Linked DNA regions of Oreochromis niloticus. The protein of the gene in region 1 interacts with the protein of each later gene in a biochemical or structural test. Links are inferred from orthologs where the notes say so. Each region holds a gene or a part of one and is shown in the gene's direction. Other genes may lie near its edges. The genes, in order: nid1a and fbln1.

What was found.
Region 2: the proteins of nid1a (region 1) and fbln1 form a complex in vitro, tested with the Homo sapiens proteins (3 studies listed by BioGRID). The link is inferred for Oreochromis niloticus from reciprocal best matches to the Homo sapiens genes NID1 and FBLN1.

Annotation. Positions count from the first base shown.
Region 1 is NC_031978.2:23,794,507-23,811,239, reverse strand, and holds the start of nid1a (nidogen-1), read left to right. Parts: upstream 1-8,350; 5' UTR 8,351-8,437; coding exon 8,438-8,641; intron 8,642-10,223; coding exon 10,224-10,526; intron 10,527-10,603; coding exon 10,604-10,830; intron 10,831-10,905; coding exon 10,906-11,195; intron 11,196-11,418; coding exon 11,419-11,559; intron 11,560-11,763; coding exon 11,764-12,015; intron 12,016-12,297; coding exon 12,298-12,498; intron 12,499-12,612; coding exon 12,613-12,846; intron 12,847-13,042; coding exon 13,043-13,180; intron 13,181-13,867; coding exon 13,868-13,996; intron 13,997-14,358; coding exon 14,359-14,496; intron 14,497-15,706; coding exon 15,707-15,826; intron 15,827-16,286; coding exon 16,287-16,508; intron 16,509-16,624; coding exon 16,625-16,733. Other genes in the region: gpr137ba (G protein-coupled receptor 137Ba), read right to left, coding at 1-191, 297-346, 1,588-1,968. UniProt on the Homo sapiens protein: Sulfated glycoprotein widely distributed in basement membranes and tightly associated with laminin. Also binds to collagen IV and perlecan. It probably has a role in cell-extracellular matrix interactions.
Region 2 is NC_031972.2:46,198,730-46,215,212, forward strand, and holds the start of fbln1 (fibulin-1), read left to right. Parts: upstream 1-7,622; 5' UTR 7,623-7,854; coding exon 7,855-7,909; intron 7,910-11,228; coding exon 11,229-11,337; intron 11,338-12,952; coding exon 12,953-13,082; intron 13,083-16,469; coding exon 16,470-16,483. Other genes in the region: transcription intermediary factor 1-alpha, read left to right, coding at 1-258, 517-646, 2,919-2,993, 3,397-3,552, 3,647-3,919. UniProt on the Homo sapiens protein: Incorporated into fibronectin-containing matrix fibers. May play a role in cell adhesion and migration along protein fibers within the extracellular matrix (ECM).

The DNA of each region.
Region 1 (16,733 bases):
TCTTGGCGATCTTGTAAAGACACAAGGCCAGCGAGATGGCGCACAGGACGAAGAGCGTGTCGTTGATCGCGACCCTCACCAGCACAATGGTGTGGGCTTCTGCAGAGGACATCCTCACCAGCAGGGCGCACACCAAATTGACAACTAAAAACACCAGGCTGATGAACAGGAAGGTGAGATACAGTGGCAGCCTGGTGGTGAGGAAACAAAAACAGGCAAAGAGTTATTAACCCCAAAAATTGCTATTAAAAAGAAATAAAATAAAGAGTCTTCTTAAGTCCACCAGCTGGTCTTACCTGTACTTCAAAAGCTCCGGTGCATATTTGGACTTTGCCTTAAAAATAACCTGTGAAAAGGAAACAAACACAGTTTCATTCAAATGAGCGATGGCCTTGTGTCAGACTGCTTTCACTTCTCTGTTCTTGCTCTCCGAAACGCACAAGACACTCTGATTAAACAGGAACCTCAAGGCTGTAAAACGATTTAGAGCTGAACTTCGGATATGCAATGGTCACACAGCGCAGGGCCTCAGAAGCTTTGAGCCTCGCTTCTCGTTCGCAACTGTGACTCACATCAAGCGCAAGAGGATTTACGCTAAAAATAGGCTTCAGGCAGAGGCCAGAGGAGCTATTATTTAGTATCTGGATTATGTAAGCAGTTGAAGGAATGATTCACTGCATCCCACTTTTTCACCTGATGTGAATGGGAGTCTGTTGCACTGAGAGCAACAGGTAATATTCAGTGGACGACTTACTTCCTATATGAATCACTGTTACAGTGGCATGTCAAGCCTGGGGTCATGGCCTGTATCCTGACAATGCCACTCTCTAAAATTCAAAATCCTGAAAAATAAAAATAAAATAAATAAATTGAGCCATCCAGCCAGCCACAATGGGTGGGTGTATGGCTCTGAGTTCATGTGCATTCAAAGATGCTCTGCAGGCATGACAAATTAAGAAAATTATGACATGAGGTTTATGGACCAACATTATCAAAATGTGTTGAAACTGGCCAACTATTTCAATGCAAATGAATTTTATTTATATAGCACCAAATCACAACAACAGTCTCCTCAAGGTGCTTTAGAGTGTAAGGTAAAGTCCCAACAATAGTACTATGAAAACCCCAACAATCAGATGACCTCCTGTGAGCAAGCACCTGGCGACAGTGGGAAAGAAAAACTCCCTTTTAACAGGAAGAAACCTCCAACAGAATCAGGCTCACAGAGGGGCAGCGATCTGCCTAGACTGGCTGGGTGTTATACCTAGAGCGACCAGGTGGTCCACCTTTCTCCCCGTCCTCCCATCCATGACAGTAGTATACACAAAACAATCGCATACATCAGTGTTTTAAAGCAGCTCTCAGCATTTCCACATTATCCCACTCAAATCTACCCTTTGCCCCACATTTAGTTTGTTTGCTCGTTCATTATCACACTGTAAGTTGGATGTTGGACTAACTGGTTTATAAACCAGCCGGGGTGTGACACATTTTTTTTTTTTTTAGCCCAGACAGAGACTTCCCTCATTAATCAAACACTGTACACACGAAAAAGAAAAATAACGTGACAACATCTGAGCAACTCACCTGCGCAAAGTACAGGTTCATGAGGCAGAGTGTGAAGAACTGCAGGCAAACGGGGAAGCAATAGAGCAGCCAGAAGGGAAAGGGCCCCAGAGTGTTGGCTGTGATAAAGTTCTTGAAGTAGAAGGAGAAGAGCACGGTGCGCAGCGCCGACCACAGCAGGCACAGGAACAGGAACACAGTCTGATAGCTGAAGCGCTTGTGTCGGTACCGCAGGACCAGCCAGAGCTGGATGTAGATGAAGATGAAGAGGAGAGAGTAGAAGACGGTGTAGACCACCGTCAGGCCCAAAGTGACGTAGGGTGGCACGGCCGGGCTCAAAGTAGGCAGGGGCTGCGAGTCGTCCGACGCCCAGAGCCCCTTCTCCTCCGCCAGAGCCTCCATGACCTGCTCTCTGTGTCCGGGGTGGGAAGAGGGGGGTGATCACCGCCAGCTCCTGCGGCTTCACAGAGCCAGCTTGTCGGCTCTTGTCTCTCTCTCACGCCCGGCCGAAGAGAGAGATGGAAGCCAGGGCGAAAACAGGAGAAAGGGGGAGGAGAAAACAAGGCTGTCAAGACGAGCGAGGAGGGAAGAAACGCAGCAAGTCCAACTTCCTGCAGCCGAGCCGGAGAGCGAAGCACATGATCAGCGATGAGAATGAGCCGTTTGTCAGGAGAGAGAGCAGGAAGCCGCTCAGAGTTGCAAGCAGGAGCTCCGAGAGAGGACCAGCCTCCTCCAGCGCCCCCATCCGCTCCGTTCTGCGCACTCGTTTACGCTACGCTACGCATCAGCTGACGCACGTCGCCGTACCTTTAACCCCGTGGAGGGGTTTCCCACCGCAGCGCCGATCCCGGGAGAGTTTACATGTGTTTACCTTCAGTTCATCAAGATGAGTGAAATAAAGAGTATAATTAATCACGCAGGGGGGGCTGCCCTCCCGGTTCACACAGTTTAACGACAAAAGTCAGGATCTTTAATCAGCTTTTATTTTTCTTTCATTTTGACTTTTTGAAATTTATTTATTTATTTTTAACTCAGTTTAGTTTCAGTTCCTTTCCAGAGTGAAAAGTAACTAGTTTTTGATGTCTTATAATTTTTTAGTTTCAGTTTAGTTTTTAGTGTTTAAAAAATGTTTTTACTTCGGTTTTTATTAGTTTCAGCATTAGTTGTTTTCTTTATTGTATTCCTGTTATTGTATGGAGAGAATGTGTCAGGGTTAAGATTCAGGAAAATCTGCAAAGGTATTATACTGAAACAATGCAATGAACATGTCCGCCAAAGCCTCATCAGGTAAGTTCTGATAATAAATTTAACCAAATTAACAAATCTAAAACTGAAGCTTTATTTATTTATCTTATTTTATTCACATCTAGTTTTAGTTTTAGTTACTGTAATAACCTCATGTTTTGAACGACAACGTGTAAATGCCAGATCAACATTACGGTTTAACATTTTTATGAAGTTTAAAGATTTATTATACGTTAATTAATGAATTAATTATTCTTAATGAGATACATTTACATACAAAAAAGGAGGGAAATGTTATTTTTATTTAGCGTTTGGTACTTGTCCTCTTTACAAGACAGAGCCTCAGACTTTCGAGGTTATCTCATTTCAAAATACAAAAATGCATTTGTACATTTAATAGATTATTGCAGTCCAAAGGTCCTTACAGATGACTGATAAGCCAATCGTAAGACAGGGCAAAAATTACATTTACAAAAAGGACACAAGAATTGAATGAGGTCAATAAAGTAATGATTTTTTTCCTCTGATTGGCTGCAACTTGCAAACAGAAGGTTTGAACCGCAGGTACTGTGCTCACAGTCAGAGGTGTTTGCCTCTTTCAGGATAGCACTATAATGTGTCAGGTCACAGGACTTTCTAACATTAGCTTTGCCTCTTATTCACACTGAACTTCAAAAAGACTGGATTTAGAAACCTTACTGCCTGTAACTGGAATGAGCTCCAACAAATACAGAAATAAATAAACATGGAGCTACATTTTCTGATGTTACCAGAACATTTTAAAATGATCTATTTATGAATCTGAAATCATTATCATGCATATTTTTCCTCAACTATGTATAATGTGTCTTTCTATTTCTATGTGCTTTCTTTCTTGAGCTCAGTGGGACAACCTGGGTAAAAAAAGGTGTAATACTGATCATGATCTAGATCCCAGAGCAGAAAAGGCCTGTCTGAGCAGTTGAAACCTGAGGTTTTGACTCTCTGAGAAGGCACTGACGTCATTATTGTAGACTTTTTCCATGTTTCATATGAATATGCAGCACTGTAACAGTATGTTGATGACACAAAATAAGAAAAAAGTACGATAGGTTGACTTTATGGTATAAATACACTGTTTATATAGTTAAATTATCATAAAGAAACAGCCAACTTTGGCGAAATTCAGACTTTTAAATGGTCAACAAATGTTCGAACTAATCCTACAGAGGCGATCGTTTCCTGACTTTTAGTTCCTGTTATGAGTCATGATCCAAAAATACTGAATCCTACAGCTTTGATGAAGCAGATCGGTTCTTCATTTGACCCTTCCTGCCTGGAAAACACCCACATTTTTAGAACTTCACAGATACATTTTGCAATGTAGCTTTTCCATTTAAAAAAGTAAGTCCCATGGCTTTCATGATATCATCAGGATTATTTTCTGCCACATTTTAAGCTACATCCTGAGTTTCAGAAGAACTTATATACTTTTCATACATTGAATAGTCCACCTGGTCACAAATAAAACATTTTTTGTTTATTAAATTAAAATGAAATAAAATGTAACATTTCCCTGTAATTCCAACCACAAGTCACAGAATTCAGGTTATGACCCAATCGGTTATTTATCCAGTGTGCACAGAAATCTAAGGGACATTTGTTTGTTATGGTAAATATCCTAACAGCAAGGTTTTGGGTTCACAAGACCAGGGCATGTGAACATGAAGAATGTCAAGGATGGAGGTCACTGGGATCCATTAATCTTTTAGCACACGGGGACAGTGCCAGCCAGACACCAAACAGGATGCCATCAGCTACAGTACCTCCCCCTTGGCTGTGAAACCACAGGTTGGTACTCTCCTATATCAGAGATATGTGATTTTGTGTTTGGCCTGTGTAAATGCAAAGATAAATGCATATATTTTTACTTCAAAAATGCATAATTCAACCAGAGGCTTAATTACGGCATGTTTTAATTAGGCCAGGTCAGTGCAGTTTGTACAGAGTGCTGGGGTGCACTGTCCTGCTGTTGGGGGATGCCATTGCTCTGACATGGAGTGGGAGGTGTGGATGGATGTCTTAGTCCATTCCAAAGTTTAGGTGGGTGGTAAGTGTCAAAGTAACATCTACATGAATGCCAGGACTCAAGGCATTTCCCAGCAGAACATTGCAGTAAACTGACCAGTCAGTGGTTTCACTGCTGTGGCTGTGTACTGTCAGTGTATACAGATAGCATAAAACCTCTTTGTACATGGTATATATCGGTTTCTTTGTTCACTCAGAAATACTTCAGCCTGGCTGCAGTCCTTCATATTGCCTGCATCTTTGGTTTCATCTGTAACAGTATTGGAGTGATAATGAAATAGCACTTCAGTCTGATTATCAGGCCACAGCGTCCTGTTATAGACACATCAAACACCAGCCTGCTGGTTCCTAGGCAACTTGGTCAGAGAAAGCAGACTCGCTCAGACAGTAACAAGTCAGAGCTAATGGCATCACCGGCTCTGATGTAAATATCCCAACAAGGGTCTATTGTGTCTCACGATTCAAACGCAGAGAGATCCGTTTTATTTCCTACAAACACTGTACTGTTATGAATTACATTCTCTTCAGCCCATTTATAACAATATAAATCTGTGTTGAGGAAATACAAGTGCACTCTGTTATTTAAATATGGTGTATGCATATTAATTTTGAAGCCATGTGTGTGTCACACACATCACCAGTGTGTGAATGTGTGTGTGAATGGGTGGATGACTGGATATGTAAAGCGCTTTGGGGTCCTTAGGGACTGTTAAGGCGCTATATAAATACAGGCCATTTACCATTTACCATTTACCATGTGAATCTGTGAGGTAGGTATTCAGAAACCACAAATGGAAATCCCTCAAAATGACCACGAGGTGGCGCCTTTTAGCTGTAGAGAAACAGAAAGACATCGGGGGATACTGTGTTGCTGATTTTGGAACCACAGCATGTATGGTGCTGTGAAAAAGTATTTGCTCTCTTCCTGATTTCTTCTTTCTTGCATATTTGACACACTTAAATGTTTCAGATCATCAAACAAATTGTAATATTACCCAAAGATAACCTGAGTAAATACAAAATGCATTTTTAAAACAAAGATTTCATTCATGGGGCTACTGGGGGGGGGGCTACTTGGCCCTGTGTGAAAATGTAATTTCCCCCACCTTGACCCTGTCCGTCAGACTGAAGTAGACTAAAAGATCTCAACATCTGAGATCCCTTTGGAAGCATAATTTCTAAGGTTTTGGGACTTCAGTGAAGCATGGTAAGAGCCATTATCTACAAAAACCTTGGAACAGTCTTAAACATTCCCAGGAAAGGCCAGCCTATCAAAATTATTCCGATAACCCTTTAATGATTCATTCAGGATGTTACAGGCGATAAGGGGAAGTAACAAAAAGTGTCCAGGTCGGAAAAAGGAGACGAGGAGGCAAAAGGGTTACATTAAAGAGTTTTATTAAAGTTTCTATCAAATACTCGACTAAAAGAGATGGACAAGCCGCTATCACCATTTAAAGAAACAAAACAAAACTCAAGCGTTGGTCAGTAAACTGAAAAGTAACTAAAAAGGATTAGTTGCCAAACACACTCCTCTCCACCAAGAAGGAGCAGAACACACACACACAACTCACTGCAACCACTCACATGGCACTCTGGCCCAGAGCTCACCTTTCTCTGGGCTTAAATACCTTTAATTGCTGATGTGAATGAGCTGTACAAAAGAAAAAGGTGGCACCTAAGGCAGGAGAGCTGGTAGGACACGCCCACACAGGCAACTGCAGGAGGAGGCCCTGCTAGGGCCGTAACAAGGAGGTTACAAAAGAACCTAGAACAACATCTAAAGAACTGCAGGTCTGTTTCACTTGTGTCAATTAAGCTCAGAGTTCATAAATCAACAAGTCCACCTTTGACTGGATTTTTTTTTAAAAGGGGGAGTTTTTTGAGTGGCCTAGTCAAAGTCTGGACTTACATCAGATTGAGATGCTTTGGCGTGACCTTAAACAGGCCGTTCATACTCAAAAACCCTCCATTGTGACTGAATTAAAACAACTCTGTAAAGAAGAGTGGCTCAAAATCTTCCACAGTGACATGAAAGACTCATTGCCAGTTATCAAAAATGCTTGATTTCAGTTTTTGCTGCCAAAAGTGGCCAAATCAGTTGTTAGGTTTAAGGGGCAATTACTTTTTGTCATGGGGCCAGGTAGGTTTTTCCCTTAATAAATGAAATAATCATTTTAATCATTTGTATTTCCTTGGGTTGCCTTTGTCTAAATGTTTGATGATCTGAAGCATTTAAGTGTGTCAAATATACAGAGGGGAAAATACTTTGTAAATGATAAATTGTTACTACTTGTTAGGTCAAATTTACAAAGAAAACCTAGCAGCTCAGAGGAACAGAAGAAATATTTCATTGTGCAGCGTTAGAGTCATTTACACAGTCTCAGCAGGTTTGAAGAAGAAGTTAATGTTGGGTGTTTTATCACAACATTAGGCAGCTTCATGAATCACTGTCTTGTTTAAAGAAATCTCATCCTGGTGGTATTTATGAGAAAACCGCAGAAACATTGTCTAAACATATCATATACTGTGGAAATCATTCTAGGTCTTGGAGGTAATTTGTCATTAAAGATAGGCAGGGATAGCTCAGTAGGTAGAGTGTCTGCCCCATGATCGGAAGGTCGGGGGTTCGACCCCACTGAACGGCTACCCTGAGGTACCCCTGAGCAAGGTACCGTCCCTACACACTGCTCCCCGGGCGCTGCACTGGTGGCTGCCCACTGCTTCACTAGGTGAATGGGTTAAATGCAGAGGAGTAATTTCCCTTCGGGGACTAACACAACACACTTTACACTTTAAGTGCTACAGCGGTGGGTGAGTCTGCATTTTGGAATGATGGTAAACATTTGCAAAAAGCCTTTGTGGGGGACCGTGAATACCAACTGTCAGAGCACTGTGGACCAAAGGGTGGACGGTTCACTAAGCATCTCAAAAACAGCTCCAAGTTGAAGCATATTACTGTACCGGCATGCCTCTCATTATCCCAGCTGGAGATGAGTCTGATAGCCTCAGCACATGCCTCAGATGATTAGTGTATGGTACAGTGCTTTGTGATATTGTCCTTTACATAATGTTTCAGTCAAATCGGGCATGGGGCTCTGTTGCCGGTTACTGGTCCATACTCTGATCGCCCGCTGGCCTGTGTCCAAACCTGCAAATACAGCTTCAGTGTTGTCCCTCCGGAGACAGTAGCCCTTCTATTAAAAGCACTTATAATCTGCACACAACTGTCTGTTTTCTACTGTATTGGCAACACTGCAATAATCTGTTTGAAGAATTTTAAATAAAGGATCTGCAAATGACCTTAGCTCTTCTCAGAGTTTAATTTGACTCAATCAAAGCGCCCCAAAGCATGCCATCATTAAAAAACAACAACAACAACAGCACCATACCATTTGTTTCAGGAACATTAATGAAAGCAAAGCATGGGCTACTTCTCACTGAAACTCCACTGTGACTGAGTTAGTGACCGCCCACAACTTCTTCTACAACCACTGAGTTCGATGTATCACTCGCGCCTTTAACGCAGGACTGCTTAGCTCCCTCTGAAAGACGGACCATGGGTTGGAAGGAGCAAGGCTGGATCGCTTGTCTGAGTTTTCTCGGATTTGTGGTCTCGGTACAGAGCATAAGTCGAAACGAGCTTTTTCCTTTCGGTCCGAGCGCAAGAGACCAGTTACTGGAGCCTGGGAATGATCAGACGTATCGACTGGATCTGAGCAAACCGATGTTGTTTTATGATGGCACTTTCCGCAGCATCTTTGTAAGTTAACTCTTAACCTTTTTTCCCAAGATGATTATTATTATTAACATTAATACTCTTGCGTTGGCTTTACTGGTCACCGACCGTCCGTCGTTCTTGCGCAATTGCGCGTTAGCCAGAAATGGAGTAAGTTTAAACAGTTCCTAGAAGTTGCAAAACGGAGCTCCAGCAGGGTATCACTTTTTCCTTGTCTGTGGAGTATTTGTAAATACTGGATTTCTTATCGCAGATGCGGCTGTATCATGTCGAAAGCATGTGTTCACGCATTTCTTTGTTTCCCTCGAGGTTATCATTTTACTGCCGACACCAAATACCAAACCTTATTTTGCAATCCATCCCAAAAACACCCAGTGAAGAGACAGAGAACTTTACAAAGTGGTCACTGGGAGGTTTATTTCTGGAATAAATCATGTAAAACTGTATGATTTACAGTAGAATATTAGAATATTAACTGTTGGCCTGTAGCGCTTTTAAAAAGAAGCCGCACCATTGTGTGGAACGGACAAGCAACCCTTTATTCCCACAGTTCTGGTTTCAAAGAAAAGTGCTACATCTCTGTTTTAGTGCTGCGTGTGGAAACTGTGCCATGACGCAGTAATTACACTTACAGATGCATTCGTCAAAGCTTTGCTGATGTTTTATGCATAAAGATGTTTCTACCAAGCATTCAAGCTCTTAAAATGAAGGTTTCTTCTTTAGTAAAGCTTACCATTCATTCCACAGTAGCTTGTCCCGTCTCAACCCAGTGGAGGCTGTCTCTGCACAATCTCCATTTAAGGAGATTGTGCAGAGACAATGATTAACATGATTAACACACGAGCCTGAAGCTTAAATGAAACACATGAATGCAGTGTTCACCAATTAGTCTGCTGACTGCCTCCAGGTTAACCTTCCATTACCCATCACAAACATATTTCTGCGCTGCAGTCAAGATGCCCTCAAGAGTTTTGTTTTCATCTGTGAGACGGTCTGCCCTGAACTGTCTCTGCCCTGGGGTGGGAGGGTGATTCTTCTCACTTCATGAGTATGATCCATATTTTACTGAGCACTTACATGTTAACCACTAACCTTAGAGCTCTTTATCTGCAGCACCTCTGTGAATAGGATCACTGATCATTTTCCCAGATCTACCCTCCATTTTGGCAGGAAGTTTCTGTAATGACATTTAGTGCGCAATCTTTAGGCTCTCTGGGGCTACTCATCGGGGGCAAGGACAGGAAACCTTTTGTTTTTTCCTTTGGTCAGGAAGTGAAGGAGCCCCCATGTCCAGTGTGTGTCTGGGCGTGTTTTCTTGACACGAGCGCTGCTTTCTTTCTTTTTACGAGCCTCGCATGTGTTCCCACTGCAAGTGTGTAAAGACTGTGTTAAATGGCATCTTGTTTGTTCATTAGCACAGTAGTGGGACATAGCTGCTGACTCAAATCATTAGTGTAATGAAGATCAAAGTGGGTCAGATTGAACTGGGATTGTATCCCCTGTGAAACAGTTCAAGTTGTGTCAAGAATAAAACTGTGTCAAGAATAGCAGGAATTTCATTTCAGTTTCTGTCTTCTAGATTAATGATTTTCGCTTTTCGTTTCAGATTAATACCAATGGGTTTGTCGCCACAAAAGAGCCAGAAAGCGAGCTGACGTATCTTGGCAAAATGCCCCCAAATTTTGGCATGATTGCAGCTCTGCAAGGAGACCTGCACACGAGCGATGGCGTGGGGAAAGTTTTCTTCCGAGAGGACTCCAGTCCTGATATTCTACGCCGCGCTGCTGAGCACATCAACAGGGCTTTCCCTGAAGACGACGAAATCAATCCCACCCATGCTGTGGTGGTCACCTGGGTTGATGTCACCACCCATGGACTTGAGAGCAGAGGAGATAGCGGCATCAAGAAGGTGAGTGTCACATAGTTATTCAAGTAATCTAGAGTGGACGTGGTCACTGACAGAGTCTATAATGTTTTGTTCCTCAGAGAAACACCTTCCAGCTGGTTATTGCATCTCTGGAGACCACCTCATACGCTATTGTCCTCTATCCAAGGGATGGGATAAAGTTTTCCTCCATGCTTGTGGGAGACACTAATGTAATCATGCATGCTGGTTTCAGTAAGGGTTTGGTCCAGGGTTTCTTCGGTTCCAGCAAGGGACCACACTACCACACCACCAATGATAACGAGCAGTCCGTGAGGGCTTTAGCAGAGTAAGTCAGACGTTAACAATGACGGTTCTTGAAGACATGTTTTCTGCCCAGAAACTTAAACTTTTCCTCCCACAGGGAGACGAACTCTGGCCTGAGGGGTGTATGGGTGTACGAGATTGGGACTTCTCCCTATTTTTCCAACGTGGCTCCAGGTGAGGTCCCTGAGCTGCCCACTGAGGCTCCACCACAAGAAGACGCTGACGCTTATGAGGAGTCCAGCGCTGCAAGGAGGCCGGTGTACACTGATGGACAGGTGGTAGCCTTCTCTCCTTATCTGCAGGAACAGACTGAAATCCACCCAGTTCAGTTCCAACCACAGAACCGGGAGGTGGTGGAGGTGGATGATCCAATTATAAATGTAGATGGTGAGTTTATGGTGTTTTAATCCAACGAGTGTTTGTTAGTGAGCCGTTCACCCACACTCGCTGATGGTAGCAAGCTTGTTTGCAGCTCTGCTTCCTGAGCCATGTCTATCGCACTGTATTTTGAGAGTGAGAGCGTGTCGTATATAAATGTTTATTGTGCCTGTCTTATCAGCTGTTCCAGCCATGGTATTCTTACTCTTCCTACCGTTTCCCATGTTTTCAGTGTTCTCGTACAACCTTGGCAGCTGTGCAAACAACAGAAATAAATGCTCCAAGTTTGGTGAATGCAGGGACTACGCCAACGGATACTGCTGCCATTGCATCTCTGGCTTCTATGGCAACGGGATACAGTGTGTGGCAGAAGGTACATGCAGAAAAGCGTTTAAATATGACATTTTTTTATTAGCTGGTAGATGTGGAAACATAAGAAGAAATCTTAGCTGTCTTGTTGCAGTCTCACATGCAGTTCTTGGATAAAATTCATTTTAAGTGAAGTGGGTTTGCATGTCTCTGTGAGTAACTTCGATGGGGTGGGTGTGTTTTTGTTTTCTTTTGGGGGGGGTTGCAGGAAAGCCACAGAGGGTGAACGGCAAAGTACACGGAAGAGTGTTTGTGGGCAGGTCTCCTTCTCCGGTGGAGTTCGCCAACATCGACCTCCACTCTTACATTGTTGTGAATGAGGGTCGAGCCTACGTCGCCATCAGTGACCTCCCGGAGACCGTTGGGCCCTCGCTGGAGCCCCTGGTGTCAATTAGTGGTGCGATTGGGTGGGCGTTTGCTCTGGAGCACCCGGGCTTCAAGAACGGCTTCAGTATCATCGGTGAGTAAGAACAACGCTGCAATGAAGATATTTCATGATGTGACATTCAGTAGCTTGTCTTGTAGTTTGTACAGGGTTTAAAAAAAAAACCTAGTGGGAAGCATAAATTTCTGTAAACAAATGTCAGCGCTGCTGCAAACACAGCTTGCATACAGCTGCAGTCTTCCGCACTGTCTCCCTGAATTCCACTTGCATTACCTCAGCTGTAACAGAAAGCCACGAGACAAAGTTCATCCCAGGGCAAAGTCTTAGAGTTAACATCCTCCTCTCTGGCCTCTGCAGGGGGGGAGTTCACTCGGCAGGCTGAGGTGACCTTTATGCCAGGGAATGAAAAGCTGATCATCAGGCAAGAGTTTAAAGGCATCGATGAGCACGACCACCTGATTGTGAGCACCAACCTGGACGGCCAGGTGGCCGAGGTGCCTCTTGGCTCCACCATAAAGCTCGACCCGTATTCTGAGATCTACCAGTACAACAACAACTGTGAGACATCTGGAACAGAGAATCAATATTTCACCACCTTTTCTGATTTTGAACGAGACATAAAAGAATTGCAAAAAAGCTGAGTGTTTGTAACGTGTCCATCTCACCTTTCAGTGATCACCTCGTCGTCCACTCGGGACTACGTAGTGACTCTGCCGGATGGATCCAGGGAAACCAGGAGATATCAGTGGCGTGAGACCATCTCCTTCAACGGCTGCTATCATAGCGAGACTTTGAGAGACATGAAACCTACACAGATGCTAAGCATGGACCACATTTTTGCCATTTACGATCCTGGACAACGACTCATCCGGTTCGCCCTGACCAGCAAGATCGGGGACATCAATGGTGAGAAGACTTTTTCGTTTTCCTGCCTTTGGTTTGAGCTCACTTCCTTCCTCAGGAACAACATGTCCTGACAGAGAGATTATTTTGACCAGACGGGCTTTTTGTTGCTATTGTTAAATGGTAAAAATAGGTATGTTTTGCTTCAAAAAACCAAAACAAAACCTGTTTAGAAATAAAATTCACCTTTCCTTCTCAGGAGGGCAGCCGGAGGAGAACCCATGCTTAACCGGAAGACACGGATGTGACACGAATGCTGTTTGCAAAGTCGGAGAGGGAGCAACGTTCACTTGCCAATGTGCTGCTGGTTTCAGCGGCGATGGACGCACATGTTATGGTAAGAACTGCATATTTAATCATGTAACAAAGAGCAGTTAGAGTTTATTTTCTGCTTTTGGAAAAATCTAACTGTTTCCATATCTTTCAAACTCATCGTTAAAATCAACCGATTTTCTAAAGCCTTCCTTCCTGACTAGGGAACTGCACAATCATACAATTAGCAGGGGGAGTCCCATAGGATAAACAAAGCATTTCCGACTCAGAGACCAGGTTAACAGAGCTAGTTCAAGCTCTATACAACCGAATCTTTTGCATTAGAGACCAAACAGGAAGAGGAAGGAAGAATTTCAGACAGATGCTATCATAAAAGTATTAGGAACTCTAATCAGGCTCTTTTCTTTGATCCCAAAACATTTCATAATGAAAAACTTATCTGGCAAAACCAGACTTCTCTAACTCTGACCCAATCCAAGACTTTTTAAATCAAGTCATTTTGTTTATATGACTCAACGTCACACGTAAAGATTCCCAGGATTTTACGTACATAAAAACAGGAAAAACGCACTTGGACAGAAAGGCGATCTGTCCAGGATGTACCCCGCCTCTCATCCTATGACAGCTGGGATACGCTCCAGGCTCTTCTGTGACTCTGAATTAGATAAGCAAAAGACAGTAGACAGATGAAAAAAAAATGTTATGAGTTTAGCATATCATCACTATTTGTTTCTTTATTTCTTATTATCAGACAACGATGAGTGCAGAGAGGATCCTCAGCGCTGCGGCCCTAACGCTATCTGCAACAACCAGCCCGGGACCTTCCGGTGCGAGTGCGAAGAGGGGTATCAGTTCGGTAGTGACCAGAGAACCTGCATTAGTAAGTGGTTTTTGTGTGCTGTAAAGTGCTATTACATATCAGGCAAACCTCACCTCGTTCTAGGGAGGTAGAGGTGCAAACATAACCTGTAATAAAATTCATTATAGTATGAAAAAGTCTGTGGTGATTATTAAACCGTGTAGCAGCAGCAGCACGGTGGCTGTAAAGCATTTTCTGGCATGCCCCCAAAGATCCAACTTGAATTTCAGTTAAATAAATATTAAACTGTATTCATTCGTCTTAATTTCACGCCATATTTTTCACCCTGTTCCCCAACTTAAGCAGTTCTATCCAAAACCAGTCAACACATTATTTTTCTCACGCTGATAGCATTTCCCAGAATTTGTCCTGCTTCTCCTCAGAGGTTGATCGACCCGTGGACCACTGTGAGGCAGGCACCCATACCTGCTCACCCCACGCTCAGTGCAGCTACACCGGAGGCTCGTCCTATGTCTGCACCTGCCTACAAGGGTTCACGGGAGACGGTAGAAGCTGCCAAGGTACTGCAGACAAACGCACTGCTCTCAGAATGTGCGCAAGAAAAATAGACAAAGTAGGCTTATTTGTAGTTTTTAGACAGTGCAACATAAATAACATTTTTAGCATTTAATATCACAACTTGGCTTAGTTTTTTCATTTGTTTGTTTGTTTGTGGGTTTTCTTTTTTGCATGTTAGTCCACCAACCTGCAATAAGCAATGTTGCATGTTTTCTATTATTAAATTAGTTTTAAGGTAATTTTACAAACAAAAAAAGACTTAAAGGTTGTTGGCTGCATGTGAAAATTTGCAGTTTTCCCTGTTCCTTACATTTATAAAATAAAATTCAACAATTAAATTAAATAGCAGGAGCTTCTAAAGCAGGGGTGTGAAACATAAGGCCCATGGACCAGAATCAGCCCGGCAAAAACTCCACTCCGGAGTTTTAAAAACACAGTTTTAACTTTTCTTACTTTAACTTCACTTTATTTATATTTATTTAAGTTTTACAGCTTCCCCCCACCCCACTTCATACTACAGCAAAGTCATCTATAGATACACAATTAAATGATGGAAATTTCCTGTTTTTTTACTATCTACTACAGAAATTTATGGTTTTGGTTTTTTTACAGTGAGTTCACAGAAAAGGGCTTTGTTTTCTGAATGAAACTTTGAATTTTATAACTACAGGACAGTCTGGGCAACGATTTTACACATTTGTCATGTAATTTCACTGGTCCGGCGCACTTAAAATCAAAGCAGCTTTAAGTGTGACCGGTCAAAAAAGAGGGACATGAAGAAAAATCTGCTGAAAGTAAGGACTACATTCAGTGTGTCCAAAATCACTTGATTCACCAAATGCATCCTTAGGAATTATTTGAATTGTTACACCATCTGCTCAGGACTGTGGGCGGTGAGGTTGGTTGCATAATACACCAACAGAGACCAAAGAGTGAAACATTAAAAACAGATGGGAATTTCATGTGTAGAGGTCCCGAGTCTGGGTGTAGGGTTTTTTGGAGGGGTTTTTCTGGTCTGGGTCCTTCCATTCTTTCCACATGTTTGCTTGATTTTCTGCTATTTGAGGAAAGTTTAAGTCAAAGGTCCACCCAAGATCTGCTGCATGGATCTCCACTCATAAAATGACAGAGAAAGTGTTCATATTTGATTTTTTTCTGCTCTCTCATCCTCCATCCATCCATCTCGCCATCATCTCATCCATCTGCCTGAAGACATAGACGAGTGTCAGCAAAGCAGGTGTCACTCAGACGCCGTGTGTTACAACACTGAGGGATCCTTTACCTGCCAGTGCAGACCGGGTTACAGCGGAGACGGTTTCCAGTGCCTTCCTGGTAGGTGAACTCTCTGAATTGCACCGCTTTAAACATAGCGTTATTTGTTAGCTGGCTTGGCTGCACATTCATTCTGGGGGTTGAAAATAAAGCCTGTGTAGTTACATGTTTGTTTTGGAGGTCCTTCACTGGAGCTCAGACAGCCGAGTAATAGTTTTTTGTTTGATGTAGTTTCGCAAAATGGGTCATTTTCATTCACAGCCTTGTAGCCGTTTAGGCCGGAGGGGGTGTTTGGAAAATGAATTCCTCGCCAGAGTATATTGGTGCCAGCTGGAATCTGTTTCTCATTCCCTTCTGGAAAGCGCGAGGAATTTGTCATGCCTTGTGAGGGATGTGAACTTTATGTGTAGCTGAAATTTAAATTAGAAGACTCCAAAAAGATAAAAGAAACAAGTTCGGGGAGTTTGTTGCCGGCTGTATTTGTTCATTTTTGAGTCTTTCTTTTCATATTTTTCTTCAGGGAGGCCAAAAACACGATGTGAGGCTCACAGAGAGAGCGTCCTGGGTGTGTCTGGCCCACGGGGGCCGCGGCCTCCTATTGGTGCTTACATCCCCTCGTGTGATGACAACGGTCAATATGAGCCCATGCAGTGCCATGGAAGCACGGGACATTGCTGGTGCGTGGACCAAAATGGACAGGAGATCTCGGGGACTCGCACCGGACCTGGCAGCAGACCGATGTGTGAGTAAATCACAGAAAGAGGTTACAATGTCACTCACGGCGGCGTTAAACAAAAACTATGGAAGCACAAACACTTCGGGAGTTTTGATGAACTGATTTGTGTGCGTCTCAATTAGGCATCGACCACAATACTGGGCCGTCGCCCATCGGACCCCGGCCACGGCCCGATGTGGATGCCCTGACCCCAGGAACACACCTGCTGTTTACCCAGAGCGGCAGGATAGA
Region 2 (16,483 bases), on another chromosome or scaffold:
TCATAGCACAGACGACAAACCCTGTTGCCCCTCACACTCTCCAAGTGAGCCACTGGGCCAGAGTAAGACTAGACCTCCAAATCATGTCAGTTCAGTGGGAGAACAGCAGCAGGTAGAGCAAAATAAAGTCCAACTGGAAGACTCTAATGAGACCTCGTGCGCTGTGTGTCAGACTACAGGAGAGCTGTTGTGCTGCCAAAAATGTCATAAAGCTTTTCATCTTACGTGCCATGTTCCAGCTCTCCTCAGATCTCCAAGGTCAGCTCCATCAAACTTTATTTATTACTGGTCTTGGATGAAAATGCGACAGCTCATATATTTTCATTTTAATAGCAAATCAATGGCTTGTTTTCTTTGTGGAATGAAAAGCACGTCAGAACAAATCCACTTTTGACAAGTCGATTTTTACATCTTGGAGGTGTGAGATTTTCATCTGACTGCAGCATTATGCACTTGTTGACGTGAGTTACTGCTTACTGGCTGTTGTGTTGAGTGTGTAAATGGTCTCTTTTTCAGCAGGGAATGGTTTTGCACTTTCTGTTGTGACCTGTTATTGCCTGAGATGGAGTATGTCTGCAAACCTGAAGCCAAAACAATAAAGAAGGAGATGGATTTTGAAGGAGCATTTTCCCCTGTGGACAAACAAGTCAGTGCTTGTTTTTAAAAATGATTTACTGTTATGTAATTATAATAATGATAATACTATAATAACAAAATGACTTCAATGCCAAGTAATTCAAATTAAGTTCAGAATTCAGCATAATCTGATAAGTCATGTATTTTTCAAATTTATAGCCGTTTTGTAAAACACCAGTGAGCAGCATCTTTTTTAAAAAATTCAACTCAGTTAAATACCATTGAAGTTGGGTAACATCAGATTAATTCCAGGCTTCACAGGTAAAAATATTCATTAACAGAGCATCACCTATTATCATTATGACTACATTATATAAGATATAAACCATAAATACAGCTGCGTTCTCTGCAGTAAGATAGATCATCCCACCTTACCTCAGTTTGATCTGCCAGCTATGTTGTCTTAATATAGGCCGAATGTCTGAATGTTCAAATTTTGTCTTTTCATTCTCACATTCAGCACGTTTCAGATAACTTTACATTTATAGAAATGCTGGTATCGGTTTATGCGGGGATGTTACTTGATTATACTGTGTAGGAGGCAGAAAACTTGTTAGTTTATACGACATTACTTTAATTTGTAACCAGCACTTATGTTCCTAAATGTAAGATATGTAAATCAAATTACATATCAAATTACAAACATATTACAAATGTTTGTACCCATGTAAATCATGGGTACAAAACCCAATAAAAGATAGTAATTGTAAATAGTAAAATAGTGCAGCTCATCTGCTTTTCCCTGACCAGGAGTGTCACTCAATTGGGAAATGAACCATCAAGTTGAAGTACAGAGTCTGCCAAGTGGCTTTCTTCCACAGCATGTTTTTTTTTTTCATGTCTTTCTTCTCTTGCCCCAGCCTGGTTCTGCTGGGGGTTTCTTCCTGTTAAAAGGGAGTTTTTCCTTCCCACTGTCGCCAAAGTACTTGCCCACAGGGGTCATAGGATTGTTGGGATTTTCTATTATTGTAGGGTCTACCTTACAATATAAAGCACCCTGAGGCATGTTGTGATTTGTGCTGTATAAATAAAATTGAAATTTAAATAGCTTGGGTTAGAAGGGAGTTCCTTGTCTCATTTTGTGTGTGTTATCTTGACAAGAAAAGTTCTGTTCATATATATATATATATATATATATATATATATATATGTATATATATATATATATATACATATATATATATATACACACATCTATAACATGCATAAAGCAAATGTTTGCTGGAAAAAGTAAATGTGTAGTCGACCCGTACGTGATAGCTGTTAGGTTAGCTAATATTCTCATTTGCTTCTGCAGTGCACTGCCTTCTCCTACGTGCAACCAAGTATTGTGCTGTCACAGTAGGGTCTTGTCTGCTGGCTCAGTCTTCAGCTACACAGTTCATTTTCCCAGGAGATTTCACCTGCTCTTCCAAGTAGCATACTGCCAGAACAGGCGTTGGAGGCAGGGAGTAGAAATAAAGACGTCATTCACCCTTTTACAAATCAGTGTACCATCAAAAGGATTTCAAGGCTGTTATTTTTATAGTAAAACTTGCTTTAAAACAGTGGTTTGTTAAACTGAGGCTACGTCCACACTAGCCCGGATAGATTTGAAAATGGCGTTTTCATCTGAAAACGATCCGCGTCCACACTAGCGTTTTCAGTCGTTTTCACAGAGTTGTGCGTCCACATTGAAAACGCTTACGTTCCAGTCCTGCGCATGCGCAAAAACGGGTGAGAAAAGCTATCTAGACCATGTACAAACTGATATTAATGCTTTTTAGGGCTGTCAAAAAACAATCAAAACAACTGCTGTATAATGCACTCCGCTATCTTTGTTTAATTGGTCACATGACTGCATCACATGACTAAAATGCGTCATCGTTTTAGAAAGTCTGCGTTTTCGAGCGTCCACACTGCGACGGGACAGCTCCGTTTTGAAATGTATGCGTTTTCGAGAGCGTTTTCTAAACGCTGCATTTTTCCTTGGGCAAAACGCCGTTTCAGTGTGGACGGGAGGCCAAAACGGAGAGAAAATGATGCGTTTTCAAACGAAAACGCATTAGTGTGGACGTAGCCTTAGTATCTGAAGGGCTAGATGCCTGACATTGCATCATGCATTTAATAACTGATAAGAACTGGTAAGAGTGCAAGGGCTGACACAAAGCAGAAAGGTGTCAAGAGAGATCCTGAGAGACGACTCTTACCAGTTTAATATTCTGCTTGACAAACCACAGATGGGAGAAATGTATTTGGTTGTTCTGATATGTATTAATTCAGGCTTATTTTTTGTGTTGCAGAAGTGTGAGAGGCTGTTGCTGTACTTGTTTTGCAGTGAGCTCAACTCAGTCTTTCACAAGTCTGCATCTCTCTCGGTGAGTCTGAAAGTATGACTGACTATAGTGGAAAAATTAACAGGATTACTGTCAGATGGAGTTACTGTAACTGTAATTTTAATTGTATGTAATACACCACATATATCAGTGATGACAGAAATTAGAAATCAGAGGCAGAGCAGCTTTACTGTAAATAAACCGTAAGTTCATTGCAGGCCCAGAACTTGAAGTGTTTCGTAATTGGACTTAAGGGGTCGGTGTGATTCTGGTGGTTTGGCTTGAAATAGCTGTTTATTTTACCCTTTACATGGCAAAACAGGGTAAAATTCCATAGTCCCATGTGCGCGCTGTTTACATGTAGATGGACACCACAGATTTGAAAAAACTAAAATGCCAACAATGTGTTATTGTTCTGTTATCATTTCCTTTCTAAATACTACAGGTACATGCTGATAACAGTCTGACTATAAAGGGACCAGTGAGTTTTTCCACAGTGAAAAACCGTCTAGAGGCTGAGCAGAGTATGTGCTATCAAAGCCCCGCAGAGTTTGTATTAGACATCAGGCTCATCTTTGGAAACTGTGTAGCCTGCAGTGAGGTACCATAGACAAATATTCTGCAACAATAACTATTATTCAGTTCTTGACATCTGTTATTAAACTGTTCATCCTTTTCGTTTTATCTTCCTTCAGTGCCGGAGTAACACTGAACTTGCCGTGACATGTAGGAGATTTAAAGAACTCTTTGAAGATTATCTGAAGCTCATCTACCCTGATCAGACCTTTCCAGAAATCAAACCAGAGATGATTCAGACTGCTTCACCCGAGTGTCAAGATTCTCAACTCAAATCTCTTGACAATATAGTCCCACTTGCAAAACGCCAACGCACATTTTCAGATTCCCAGGATGCACCAAGCTATCTCAGTGGAGAAGAGGGTATTGGATTAAAGCTCCAATTTTCCTAACCAATTGGATATGTGCCGGACGGCACAAAGAATGTGTGGTGTGTAGCGTTTTATTAAAAAATGTTGCCTTCAAGTTACCAAATACATTTTATTTTTAATGATTAAATGGTATTGCATGACAAGAATTGTGAATTCAGAAGTCAAATGATACTTTTTTGTGTTCTAATCAGAATTAAAGCTCGTAGGTTTTGCAGTATTTCTACTTCTGACTGAAACCTGAAGAGGACATTTTAGTTGTTCTTTTGTTACTACTGCTGTAATCAAATGATAGTAATCACAAACTCTCAGGTTTCTGATGTTAAATTGTGTTTCAAGGCCCCTCACAGTCAGATCATTAATAGCAAATTAAAATAATCTAATAAAATTCAAGACAAATACATTGCATACTTTCACACAGTGCAGAATATTTCTGTTTGCCCTGGTTTGTTAGGCTCTATTTACACAGTCCAAATCTATAGTTTTCACAATGTAAAGGAAAATGCAATTTTATTTAGCATTTTTTATGTATATTCTGGCTTCTTTATATTATATATTCTGGTGACACTGCCCATGTAACAATGTGTGTGATTATATCCGTCAGGGTCATAATGTTGACTTAAAAAGCTTTCTTATAAATGTAAGACATAAAGACTGGTTTTCTCATCACCAGAGGTCAGAACATTTACGCATTCAGGTCAACTTGCATAAATGAACAAGTATAGTAACTATTATTCCTTATATATTGAGTAACAGCTCCAGCTAAGGTTTAATGTTCTACACCTTTTTTGGCTCGATAGCTGCATGTTAATTGAGTTTCATGTTGTTCTACAAACTCCTTTGGGTCCCACAGGGCAGATTTCAGTCTGCCTTTGATGTGTTAGTGACCCTCTGCAGATTGACATAGACGTGGCAAGACCAGCTATAAGGAGCTTCAAAGGAGCTGCGCTACACCCCCAACAACAAGATTAACACTGTTTGAATGCGACCTTGGCCACTCCAATTTCCTTCACCTATTAGCTTGCAAGTCAGCTCATGCTGCGTTTACTTGTTAAAGCCCAAATGTAGATTTGAGGTGGAGCGAAGGAATGAGGCTTAGTTGTTTCTGGTGGACTGAAAGGCATGGGAAGTTGCCCTCTGACTGTTCTCCAGCCAGCTGGACTGGAAGCATGGCAGGGTTCTGGCTTTCATGCTGGACATTCTTCATTCCTTATATGGCATATTATCTCTTATTAGATAAGATTAGGACAGGTCAGCACTAAAGGCTTGCCCTTTGTTGTTGTGATAAGTCTAAGAAGGAGTTGCTACATCTTTGGCTGATAGAGGACTCCAGGACCTACATATGCTTTACTATAGTAGTACTACAGTCTTAACCCAAAGGTACAGCAGACAGTAATATATTAAAGAGCACAAAATTTATTTATTTTTGACAATCGTGTGAGGAAGTACTTGCCCCCTCCCTTTTCCCCGCATATTTGTTACATGTTTCAGATCATCAAACACATTTTAACAATAGCTCAAAATAACTGGAGTAAAAACCAAATCCTTATCAGGGTTGCTGGAGGGAGCTGGAGCCTTTCCCAACTGCCACAGGGCAAAAGATGGGGTACACCCTGGACAGGTCAACAGTCTGACAGAGGACTAACACACACAGAGACAGAAAACCATTCATACTCACATTCACACCTATGGGCAATTTGAAATCACCAATTAACCCAACCCCACTAACTGCATGTCTTTGGTGAGTAGGAGGAAGGCGGAGCACCCAGAGACAACCCACGCAAATGAGAGAGAAAAAAAAATGCAACTTTTAAATAATAAGTAACTTTATTAAAGTAATTAAATCTATCCAAACATAACGGACTGTGTGAAAAAGTAATTGCCTTTGTTATTGTGATAATCCCCCCCTAGATTCTTGGCTGATGGAGGACTCCATTAACTACATATGCACTGCTAGTAGAGGCTTAACCCACAGGTTGAGAACACAATAAAGTCCCGCGTTGTGGACTTTTATGATTCTGTGAGAAAGTAACACCAAGAGATCAGGAAGGGGCCGAATACTTTTTGATGTCACTGTTTAGGATTTATAGCAACTTTTAAGGTATTTTCCTGTCTTGCTGATACTAGACTTTGCTTATTTTTCCAAATGATTTGGTAATCCATTACAAAAGCCACCCCACCATGTCTGCTTTTACTTGTGGCAGGGTCTAATTGCTGTGCTGTAGTGTCCAAGTGCAGGTTGATTCGAAAATATTTCCCATTTTCCATGCAGGTGCAGTGAAAAGGAGGAAATAAAAAAGAGACAGAACCTTTCTGTGATGGATTACCTGCTCAAACAATTTCCCCAGAAGCTTGTTTATAATATAAAGCCCATTTTCAAAAATATTATATTAGAAATATTGCAATTTGATACATATACTGAGAAAGGAAGCTGTGGATTTTTCATCCTAACAACTTACCCCAGTTACCCACCTCTGTAAAACTGGTGTGGTATGAAAGAGAACTGCCAAGAATTTGCAATTTATTTATGCCATTAAATGGGCTACAACATTCAAAACACCAGTGTGCTGTATTAAAATGTACTTTTACAGAGAGATTGTCAGAGTACCAGCAGAAAATACACACTGTAGTGGACGGAAGCACAAAGAGATCAAGACACGGCTCATCAAGCACTACACATTTAAAAGGGCAATTATCCTTTTATGACAGTCATATACCTGTGGCCTTTCTTATACGCCTGTGGTGTCCTTATATCAAGCCCTTGGTGATGTTTCTTGTTGGTTAGACTGGTGGTGGTGGAACCATATGGCTTTGATTAGAAAATCATTTAATCTCTCTCTGTCGCCATGCCCAGAGCCAGTAGACTGATTGAATTTGCAGAGGGTCTTAGTTGGTACAAAATGTTTATAAAGCACTATATCAATTATTTCTCCACTCCTTGCCAGTTCTGGTAGACGTGTGTGAGTGCATGCGTCTGTGGCTTGTTTATATGTAGCCACTTTTCACAGCTCGTGATCACTTTGACTGATGTTGAGTGCACAGATGTGGCACACTCAGGGAAGATTGAATTCATTCACATTACTATAGAAATTTAAGCTTTATAGTAGAACTGCAGGGACCCGTGACACCGCTGTGAAGATACAATATTAAGGGTGGGATGGGTTGGAGGGGGTGTCACAGAGCCAGGTCTTTGTCTCTTTAAGTGCACCAAACTCATATATAATTGCGAATAACAGCAGTTAGTGGTAGTGAAAATATTTATTTATTCTTTATTTCCCTTATTTCGTCAGAGAAATCCAAAAGGTTTCCAGGCTTACAGTCTGGATATAGCCACAACACATTTTTAAAATACCCCCAAACCAGCTCCAGATGTTGGGTAATCACTACAGTCATTAGTCACAGGCAGAAATACTCTGCTCTGCCATTGATGGAAGTGCAGTTTCCATGTGTGCGCGCACACTTCACGGTACAGTAGCCCGAAGATGACTGCGAGTCCCATCTCCCGAGGCAGTTTTTCAGATGTTGTTCAGGACACTCAAAAAAAAAAAGGAAAAAAAAGGATCTGCAATAGGAGATATTTTAAAACGACAGCTCTTTTGTACACTTGCTAAAATATACTACCTGTAAATTATATATTGTAATCATAAACTTTAACTGCGATGTGGTTTGAAATAAGCCAAAAAAAAAGAAAAAAAGATAAGCAGTAAGTGTGCGCCTGTGGCCCTCAGCCCGCCCCTCGCGGTGCCGTAATTAGACATTCCTTCAGTCAAGCTGCAACTGCGACTCAGCTCCATCAAATCCACTTCTTTTCCCAGTCTAGCTTCTTCTTCTTCATCTTTTTTTTAAAGGAGCACTGCAGTTTCTTCACACATCCCCGCGGAACAACCAGCATCGGAAAGTCCACCTCGTCCACGTCTGTTTCTCTCCAGTTTTTGATACTTTGAGTCTCACCTTTTTCAATGGGTCTGCGCGTAGCGCTGCTCTGCTCTCTGTTCGGAGTTCTTCTTGGCCAAGGTAAGCGTGAGAAGCTGGGTATCACTGCTGCGAGGTGAGCCAAGCAGTGGGACTGTGTATGTGACAGTGATTTGGATCAATAGCGCATATTGCATGGCAGCTTCACTTTAAAGTACTCAAAGTAAGAAGTAGACAGATAACAGGCTAAAGGGTGATACTTGGGGAAGTGATGCATTTGTCTGGAGGCTAGTTGGGGCATGTGATGAAAGCAAAGTTTACAAAGGTGGGTGCTTCAAAGTGTTGCAGGTCTTTATTAAAATTGCTAAGGCTTGAACATCTCAAATTAAAAGATTGAAACTATTGTTTAGAATCATTGTTTTCCCTCTGTTTCTTTTTTATTACCACTTACAATGTACAATAAGTAGCACTGTGACGATATTAGTGCCACCTAAACCATTTTCCAACTTTTTGTGCACTGCATCAACAAAACCCACAGCAACTTTCCAGTTAACCTTTTCTACCTTTAACGCTCTCACTACTGTGTTTTATTTATTTACACCGTGGACTGGAATCACTCTGTTCCATGAAGTGATGATATGTCACCCCCCAGAGTGTTAAAATGTAGTTTCACACCAGTTGTCAGGCAAGAGTCCACCCTGCCTGAGGTCTCTGCCTGCAAGTCAAAGGCTGAGTGCCTTGGTATGCTGTGATGCTCTGTAAGAGCAACCAGTATCTCACCAGGGCAGGGTGGTCCTAGACAGAAGGGTGAGATTTATACTTGAGCCTCACAGCAGGGTCACCAAGTCATAAGACTAGCTGTGTCTTAAAAAGCCCACTGGGGCAATTTCACAGTCAGCAGGGGGACCTTTCTCTCAGCTGCCTTCTCTGTAGGGGGTTGTGTTGCAGGTCTTTCTGCAGATCTGCTGGGTATCAGCTCAACCAACTGCATAACCATATGCGTTCCAGATAGATAAGCTCGACCTCTGTTTCAGCCTTTTGTATATATCAGTAAGATTGGAAGAAGCTTCCACATGTAAGCTTTGAGTGGTGCCTATGAAAGAGATGCACACTTCTACGTTGTGATGTCTGTCTGAGGCCAGCTCCTCTGTCTAGGCGGGGCTCCACGAGTAGGCTCATTAAGCCTTGTTTACATGAGGCGTCTAGACGCAGACAAGACATGTGCTGCTCTGCCAAGACAGAATGGCCCTCACAGCTAGCAACATCATCCAAAATGGAAATTAGCCCTCTCCAGACAGACAATGCACCGAGGAGACTGAGAATTATGGCAGGCTGTATCTAAACCAGAGCACAGCTGTGCCTGGTTTGCTTCTTCTTCTTCTTTTTTTTTTTTTGATAAAAGACAAGAAGCCATGCAGTTTTAAAGCACTTCTGGTCTTTCAATTTTAGGTTTTCGAGTCAGCAGACAGCGGTGGCAAAGGAATGAGTCAGTGATACCTAGTGGGTTAGAGTTAGTTATCAGCAGAATGCTACTGTGAGGGGAAAAGTCCAGAACAGATCGCTGGGGGAAGTTTAGAATAAGTGACCAACTGTTCCTGGCGTTTAAAATGCACTGACTAAGCTCCCGAAGAGAAAGAGTTTAGGATTAGTTCATTTTGTTGGACTCTGGAAGTGTACCTCTTGGATGCCTTTCCAGTTCTAATACAAATCATGTGTTTTGACAAGATGGTGTCAGTTACTGGAAGTGGTCAAAAAACCAAAACATTACACATATACACAGCGGTACACACATTTAAATAGGATCCGTTAATGTTAATAAACATCCATATTTTCAGCCTCTTGTGGGCACAGTTTTTTTTTCTAGCTATTTTGGAACACCCTGGTGTTACTTACACATTCAGAAAACAAATTAAGTCAGTGAGCGAGAGACAGAGACAGAGAAAGAGAGAGGCTGGGGGAGCCTACTTGGTAGGCCCATGTGAAAAGCTTTTAAAATGTCATCTCATTTCATCCAGCTGCTACAAGGTTTATTGGCCAGAGGATACTGGGATGTGCCAGACTTCCAGAAGTCAGTAGTGAGTCAGCTAATATGCCTGTCTACCAATAAATCCTATATCCATATTCACTCCTTTCTGCCAGGTTAAACCTCCTTTCTGTAGTAGGAATGGCCACAGTTTTTTTCCCTGTAACCTCGCTTACTTTCTTAAAGAAACAGACAACAATCAAAACGTGTCATTTTTTAAAGAACTCTTTCTTGTGTCATTGTTATGCTTCTCCTCATATTAGTTCTAGATTTCAAGTGGGACTTATAGAAACTTGTGATGAACCTGAGAAATTAAGCTTTACAGCAACTCTTGTGTTGTGTTTCCACGAGGTTTACCAGTGTGCAGACTGTTTGTGATAATAACTATTCCCGCTTTCGCCTCAGCTTGACTAGTTTGATTTAATGGTCATAATAAAACATTCCTCCTGCACCTCTGGGAGAGGGCAGCAAATCTATAAAACTGTGGACTGCAATTCCAGACACTTGTCCTCCCTCCCTACCTGCCTAATCTAACTTATTATCTGATCTTGCTTACTCCTGCTAGACGCAGATGGTTCTGTTTGAGGTATTTCACAATCACTATTCTGGATAATTCAATATTTGTTTTCTCTTTTTCCTCTCAGGGGGGAAATAAAGATGATTAATGTCAATTTTGTAGACTGATCTTGGTTTGAGACACAGGCAACAAAAAAACTGAAAAAAAGCCCAAGACGTGGATCTGCCAAAGCTATTTCACGTTTGGCATATCACACGCTAACCACAGGCAAACGAACGTGCTTGATGTAATTGTTACGGCTGATTGTTTAGAGAGTCGAAGCATTCCAAACTCTCTAATCCACGTGAATAAACAGCCAGATTACCACAGAGTTGGTCGCGCTCCAGTCAAAAGGCCTCATGTGGTTCTGCAAAAACATATCCATCATTCATTGTCTTTGGCAAAAAACAAACAAAAAAATCTCTCAAGGCTTTTCTCATATCGTCAAACAGACTCTGAATTTTGTTTATTTGCTATACAATTTGTCTTGGGTCACAATAGCAGGATTGTCTTTTGTTTAGGAAAGAGAGACAAAAAAACAGATCATCATAGCTCAATTAATAAAAACTGTTTGGTCTCGCTGAAAGACAAATGCTTATCGGATAAATGTTGCTCATTTCCCTCAAATGATGCTCAGAAGTTTGCCATCTGATATATATTTGAGGCACAGTGTGTTTAGGCACTTGGTGTGTGTGTGTGTGTGTGTGTGTGTGTAGGCAGGCAGGTGGCCGGCACTATATTGTGGGGCCTGCAGTTATTATGACAATGACACATGTGAAAATGGAGTGTTGTGATTCACCTGTTTGCACATGCAAAGGTAAAAACAGTGTTGTTTTTATTAGGAGCAGAACAAATCTCAATGGAGGACTGCTGTAAAAACGGGCAAAAGCATGGCACCGATCATGAAGACTGTGCATCCCTGCCCCTTATTTCTGAGTCAACCACATGCAGGTAAGCCGGTGCTGTCTGCTACTTTGCTCTGTTAGGTTTAAGTGGGGTCGTTTATAGACTTCCAAGCCGTTAAATGCTGCATTTCTTTGTCAAAATCATATTTTCTATCCACTGTATTGGGCCCAAGTGATTTGGCATGTGCTGGATATTAAGGAAATGTCTAAATGCCCTTAATATGAGATCGCTTTACCTTACTCCCATAAATCTCTAGGCACATTATTCACTTCACGTGAGAGCAGGAAGCGCTAATAGTGATGGGATAATAACACGTCTGCTGGTAACCATAGAAGGTGTGCTGCCACAGGTTCAGGGCCTATAAGCCAAACTGATGGCAAACACATTTGCCACTGTAAGTGATCCCAAATTTGTCTAAATTATAGTGTGAGGAGTGGAGAGGAAAAGGGGCAGGGATTTGTGGGGGTAGCAGGGTAATATTTAGGGGTGGAAAAAGGTGAGGGGGGTCAGAAGAGGGGCTGTTTCAAAACCCAGGAAATACCTTAGAGGTGAAATCCAACATAGAGGGAGGGAATAACAGGAAATCTGAGCGATTACTTCAGACACCAACGTAAGAAGAAAGAAAAAAAAAAACAGGAGAAAAACAGTAAAAGGAAAACAGGAGCACACGACTGTGCCCTTAAAAGGTTCTGCAGAGGAGGCGTGTACCTTGTTGTGACTTTCAGATCTCGAGTGGTTTATGTGGAAAGAGGTTTCTGGTAAGAGTTGATAAAAAAAACTTGGTTTGTTATGTTTTTTTGTCTTGTAAAACTGCAGGGAGACAGAGATCCAGACCAGGGAGGAACAGTCAACCTCCCCTCCGCTCCCTTAACTGATTGGGCAGACAGTTAGACAATACAAGGAAATCTGATCTGAACAGAAACATTTAGTAAAACATATTTTTATGATAACGCTCTTTTGTCAGATTGGGCTGGCTTCTTCCCGGTACTGCTTTTCACAATTAAACAGCTATTGTCATTTTTTAAATGATCCTTGCAGAAGATTCGTGTTTTGCTAATCCCTAGGGGAATCTCAGAGGTGAAGGTCAATTGCAATACATCCTGTCTCAAGATGTTACTCATTTTATGGTTATGGCTATTTCTCAAATCCTAACTGTGTCAGCAAATTCTTAAGAAATGGTGAACTGATTCTGTCCCGGTGATGTCATTGTGGCTGCAAATAAACTACAGATACTGGCAAATGTTAGTCAGCCAGTTAGGGCCCCTGCTGTTCTGCTTTTTTTTGTTGTTGTTGTTTTTGTAGGGTGTGAATGTTGGATGAGGTTTGTTTTAGTGATTTAGATAATTTTGGACAAATGTGCAGCTTGGGACTGAAATCTTTGGTTTAACTTGGGTCTTAAACAATCTGAACAGAGTCCTCAGAGAGCTGTCAGCATTGCAAACACAATACATTCGGAGTGTCCTCCGCTGAGCTCATTCTAGACTTACTCAGCCCAGTCATTCATCAGTTTTCAGTGTGACATGAGATCCCCGTCAGGCTCGCCTCGGGCCGATTTTAATGAGCTGCACTTTTAAGACAGATTTGCTTTGCCATGAGCCAGTTATCGATGGAGCAGAGAGTAAATGCACCACCTGTGTTTTGTGTTTTTTCTTGCTGACAGGATAGTGCAGGAGCAGTGTTGTGTAACAGTGCTCGAGGATAAAATGTGCACCAATGGTATCAACACTGCCAAAGACCAGGGGGCCTGCGATTCTTTATTCACCAACACCTGCGACACCAAGACTACAAAGGTGCGTTTGTATGAGTGTATATGAGAGTTTTGTTAGTAGAAATTACAAAACAGAAAAGTAAATCACCAAAAAACGTCTTTAACCACTTTGTTGGACGATGATTATGGCAAGTGATTGATGAGAGCAGTGTTGTATATCTCTCTATGTGTGTGTGTGTGTGTGTGTGTGTAGTGCAGCAGGATGAGGCATGTCACTGTAGGGAGGAATGAAACTTGTTGCTAGATTATAAATTAAACTGTGACTGTGGAATATTTCACCAGCGCATATCCAAGCACCTTTTAGATTTGAAATGCTTCTCAACCAAACTCAGGCAAACTCTTGCCTTTATTTTCCATTCTATATGTACTATATACACAGTATATACAGTGTTTTTGGCAAGAATCTTGAATCACCCTTGGTTTCCTTATGTTCTGCTTCCAAGAAGCCAGACTTTCTTGTAATTTTAAGCCCCTTTTCCATTAGTAGCTACTGAGGTCGGCTCGCCACGGTTTGCAGGGTTTTCCGTTAGATGGAAGTACCTGGTACCAGGACTTTTTTAGTACCTATTCCTCTGGAATAGGTAGCCATCTGAGCAATCCAAAAATATGACATCAACAGACTGTATGTCACCGATTGGCTGGTCAGTGGCGTAACTCGATGAGTAATGAGGGTGTCTCCTTAAGGAAAATCAAAACCACCGCTAAAGTCAACCATTAAAAACAAAAGGACCAAAACAGTAAAAATGATTAGGCATAGCTATTGCACCAAACATCAACATTATAGAGAAACGTTCCCATTTGTTTTAAATTAATTGAAATAAATAGTAATTTTAATGGGGTTACAATCCAATATAAACTCATTATTAGTGAGCTTTATAACTAGCATGAAAATCTTTACTTTTACACAAATCTAGGCTCGTGTAAGATCTGCTTCCATCTTTGATTACAGATTTAAATGCTTTCTTTTTCTAACCTTCATTAGTTCCCTTTAACTGGTTTTATGTCTTTCAGAAGTATTTTGATAAATTATTTAATAAAGAATTTGGTCTAGAATTTCTATCCATCAGTTGTGATCTACTATATACTGCTTAGAAGCTTTTAAAGGTGTAGCCCCACACAGCCCCACTGCATGCTACAACCGTACTAAAGCTTTGACCTACTCAAAAGTGCTGTATAAAATGGAACAGTGGAATTGCAAATACCTGTGATGAGTATTTTATGTTTAATTTCAGTTGAGATACATATTCTTTGTGGTTGGACATCCATAAAGAGACCGAGATGGCCTGATCTCAGGCACATTTTAAAGGAATATAAAGCCTTCTGTGTTCTGCATAGGAGTACCTATTTACATGATGTTTTTATTTTAAAATAAAATTAGCAGTGTAGCTCTGATGAGGGAAAACAAGCCATCCTTAACACATAACCAAAGCTGATTGCTTCCCATATTTACCAGAACCTCTTCTATGCTGACAAACATCAGCTGCTCTGTGTTCCTCTCTCTGCTGCTGCTGGCATGGCTGGCAGCATGCTATGATGATGCACTTACAAAAATCATTTTCTCTACAGTGCTTTCAAGTTATTTTACACAGTTTCTCCTGCCACACCCTTTTTGTGAAATTAAAATGCTTAAAATCTGGAGCATCTTTAGTAGCACGAAAACAATATGAGAATAACACCACCACGGGGTTGCAACACATAACAACAATGCTCAGTGGCTAGTGGAGCTAAGAGAAGACCGCAGCAACTTCCCTGAACAGGATCCAGTAACCATCACAGAGGCAGACATCCAAGAAAGAGTCTCAAGCATGAAGCGTTAGACAGTACCAGGCCCTGACATGAGTCACACTTACAGGCTAAAGAAAGTAAGTGTAACTCTATGAGCATCTGGCAGCACATATGAACCAAGTGGCTGGCATAGTATACAGGAACATCTGTGCCGATTATGTCCTGGAAGTCCCGAGGTCAAAATAGGACACGTCCCCAAGGATGGTTGAGAAATGCATTGACAAACTGGTGATGACTAACCAACCGGACATAGTAGCGGTGGACACGAAGAGAAAGATGGCTGTAGACCTTCCCAACATCGGGAAGAAGGAACATGAGAAGCTTGAGAAAAATATGCACATTTTCAAATATGCTTAAAATGTGTTGGTGCTTACATAGTTCCTGTGTGAAAATATGTCTCAAATGTGCAAAACTCCACAGACACTGGCTACAGTGGTGGATATAAAATCATTTACTTGATATTGAGGACGTCAGATTGACAAGAAAGAAATCAGGACTGTGGGTGGCTTATTCCATAACTCCGAGCTTCTTCAAATAATCTGTGTTCTCAAGGAAAAAGACAGCATGCTGATGCAAGATGGACAGAACAAAATGTACGTTTAAATGATAAATAATGACAATATCTGTGAAAATAATGTTGTACTTTCTCTAGTCAGTCAGAGAGAAGAAAAGGGGATTTGCTTCAATGTGCTGTCTGGATAAGGTTTTATGTTTTCAATTTAGAAACTGCATTATTGTGTTTTGTAAGATTTGCAGTGATGATAGTAGAATGCCGTATTGATGTTTCACATATGAAACTAATAAAAAGGCCATTTACTCTAAGCGAGCATTGGAGAAGCAAGAAAAAGCTGGACAAAGATAAGATATAAAGCAGTTGTTTGTGCGAACTGTTCAGGAGTGTGTCTGTGTGCTTGTTGTGGGTGGTTTACACTAAAAGAGTCCTAAGAACAAAAAATTTTCTAGCAGTCAAGGCCACACAGGCATATACCCACACATAAACAAGCACACACAAACAAACACAGAGAGTAGCAGTCAGCCACTACTGGTACACAACTCTTACAATTGCTCTCCTTTGTCTGTGTTCAGTCTTGCAGTCACTACAAACGCTGCACGTGTGCACCACCACGCTCACAGTCAGATTCCAGCTGCATAACCAAATTGCCAAAACATGCCCATCTGTCACACTCCCCACCTTTCTTGTCCATAACTGACATTACCGGGCTGTCATAATGATTGACTGAGCGTGCATTAGGGAGAGGGGGGATGATGTCATCTCATCACTGTCTCCCTCTGTGTTCTCTTTTTCTAACTGACTGACTGCCTTTCTGGTCCCGTCTGAAGCCTGCCAGTTGGCGTATTGTCTCAAAAAAGCTCTTTTTCTGTCTGTCTGGTTGATTGAGAGCTTGGCTGTCTGTCTAAAGCAGCTTATTCTCAGCTGTCAGTTTAAAAGGCTGTCTCACTTCTTTAACCAACACTCTGTCTGCTCTTCTTCGTTTTTGTTTTACCTCTGCTGGTACACAATATCCTGAAAAGATCTCTGTTTTGTTTTCTTTCAATTATTTGCAAATTTTTCATGTCTATGCTGAAAGTTCTCTAATACTGTGTTGTATGCTGTTTTCGATAGATGTGCTGTGACTG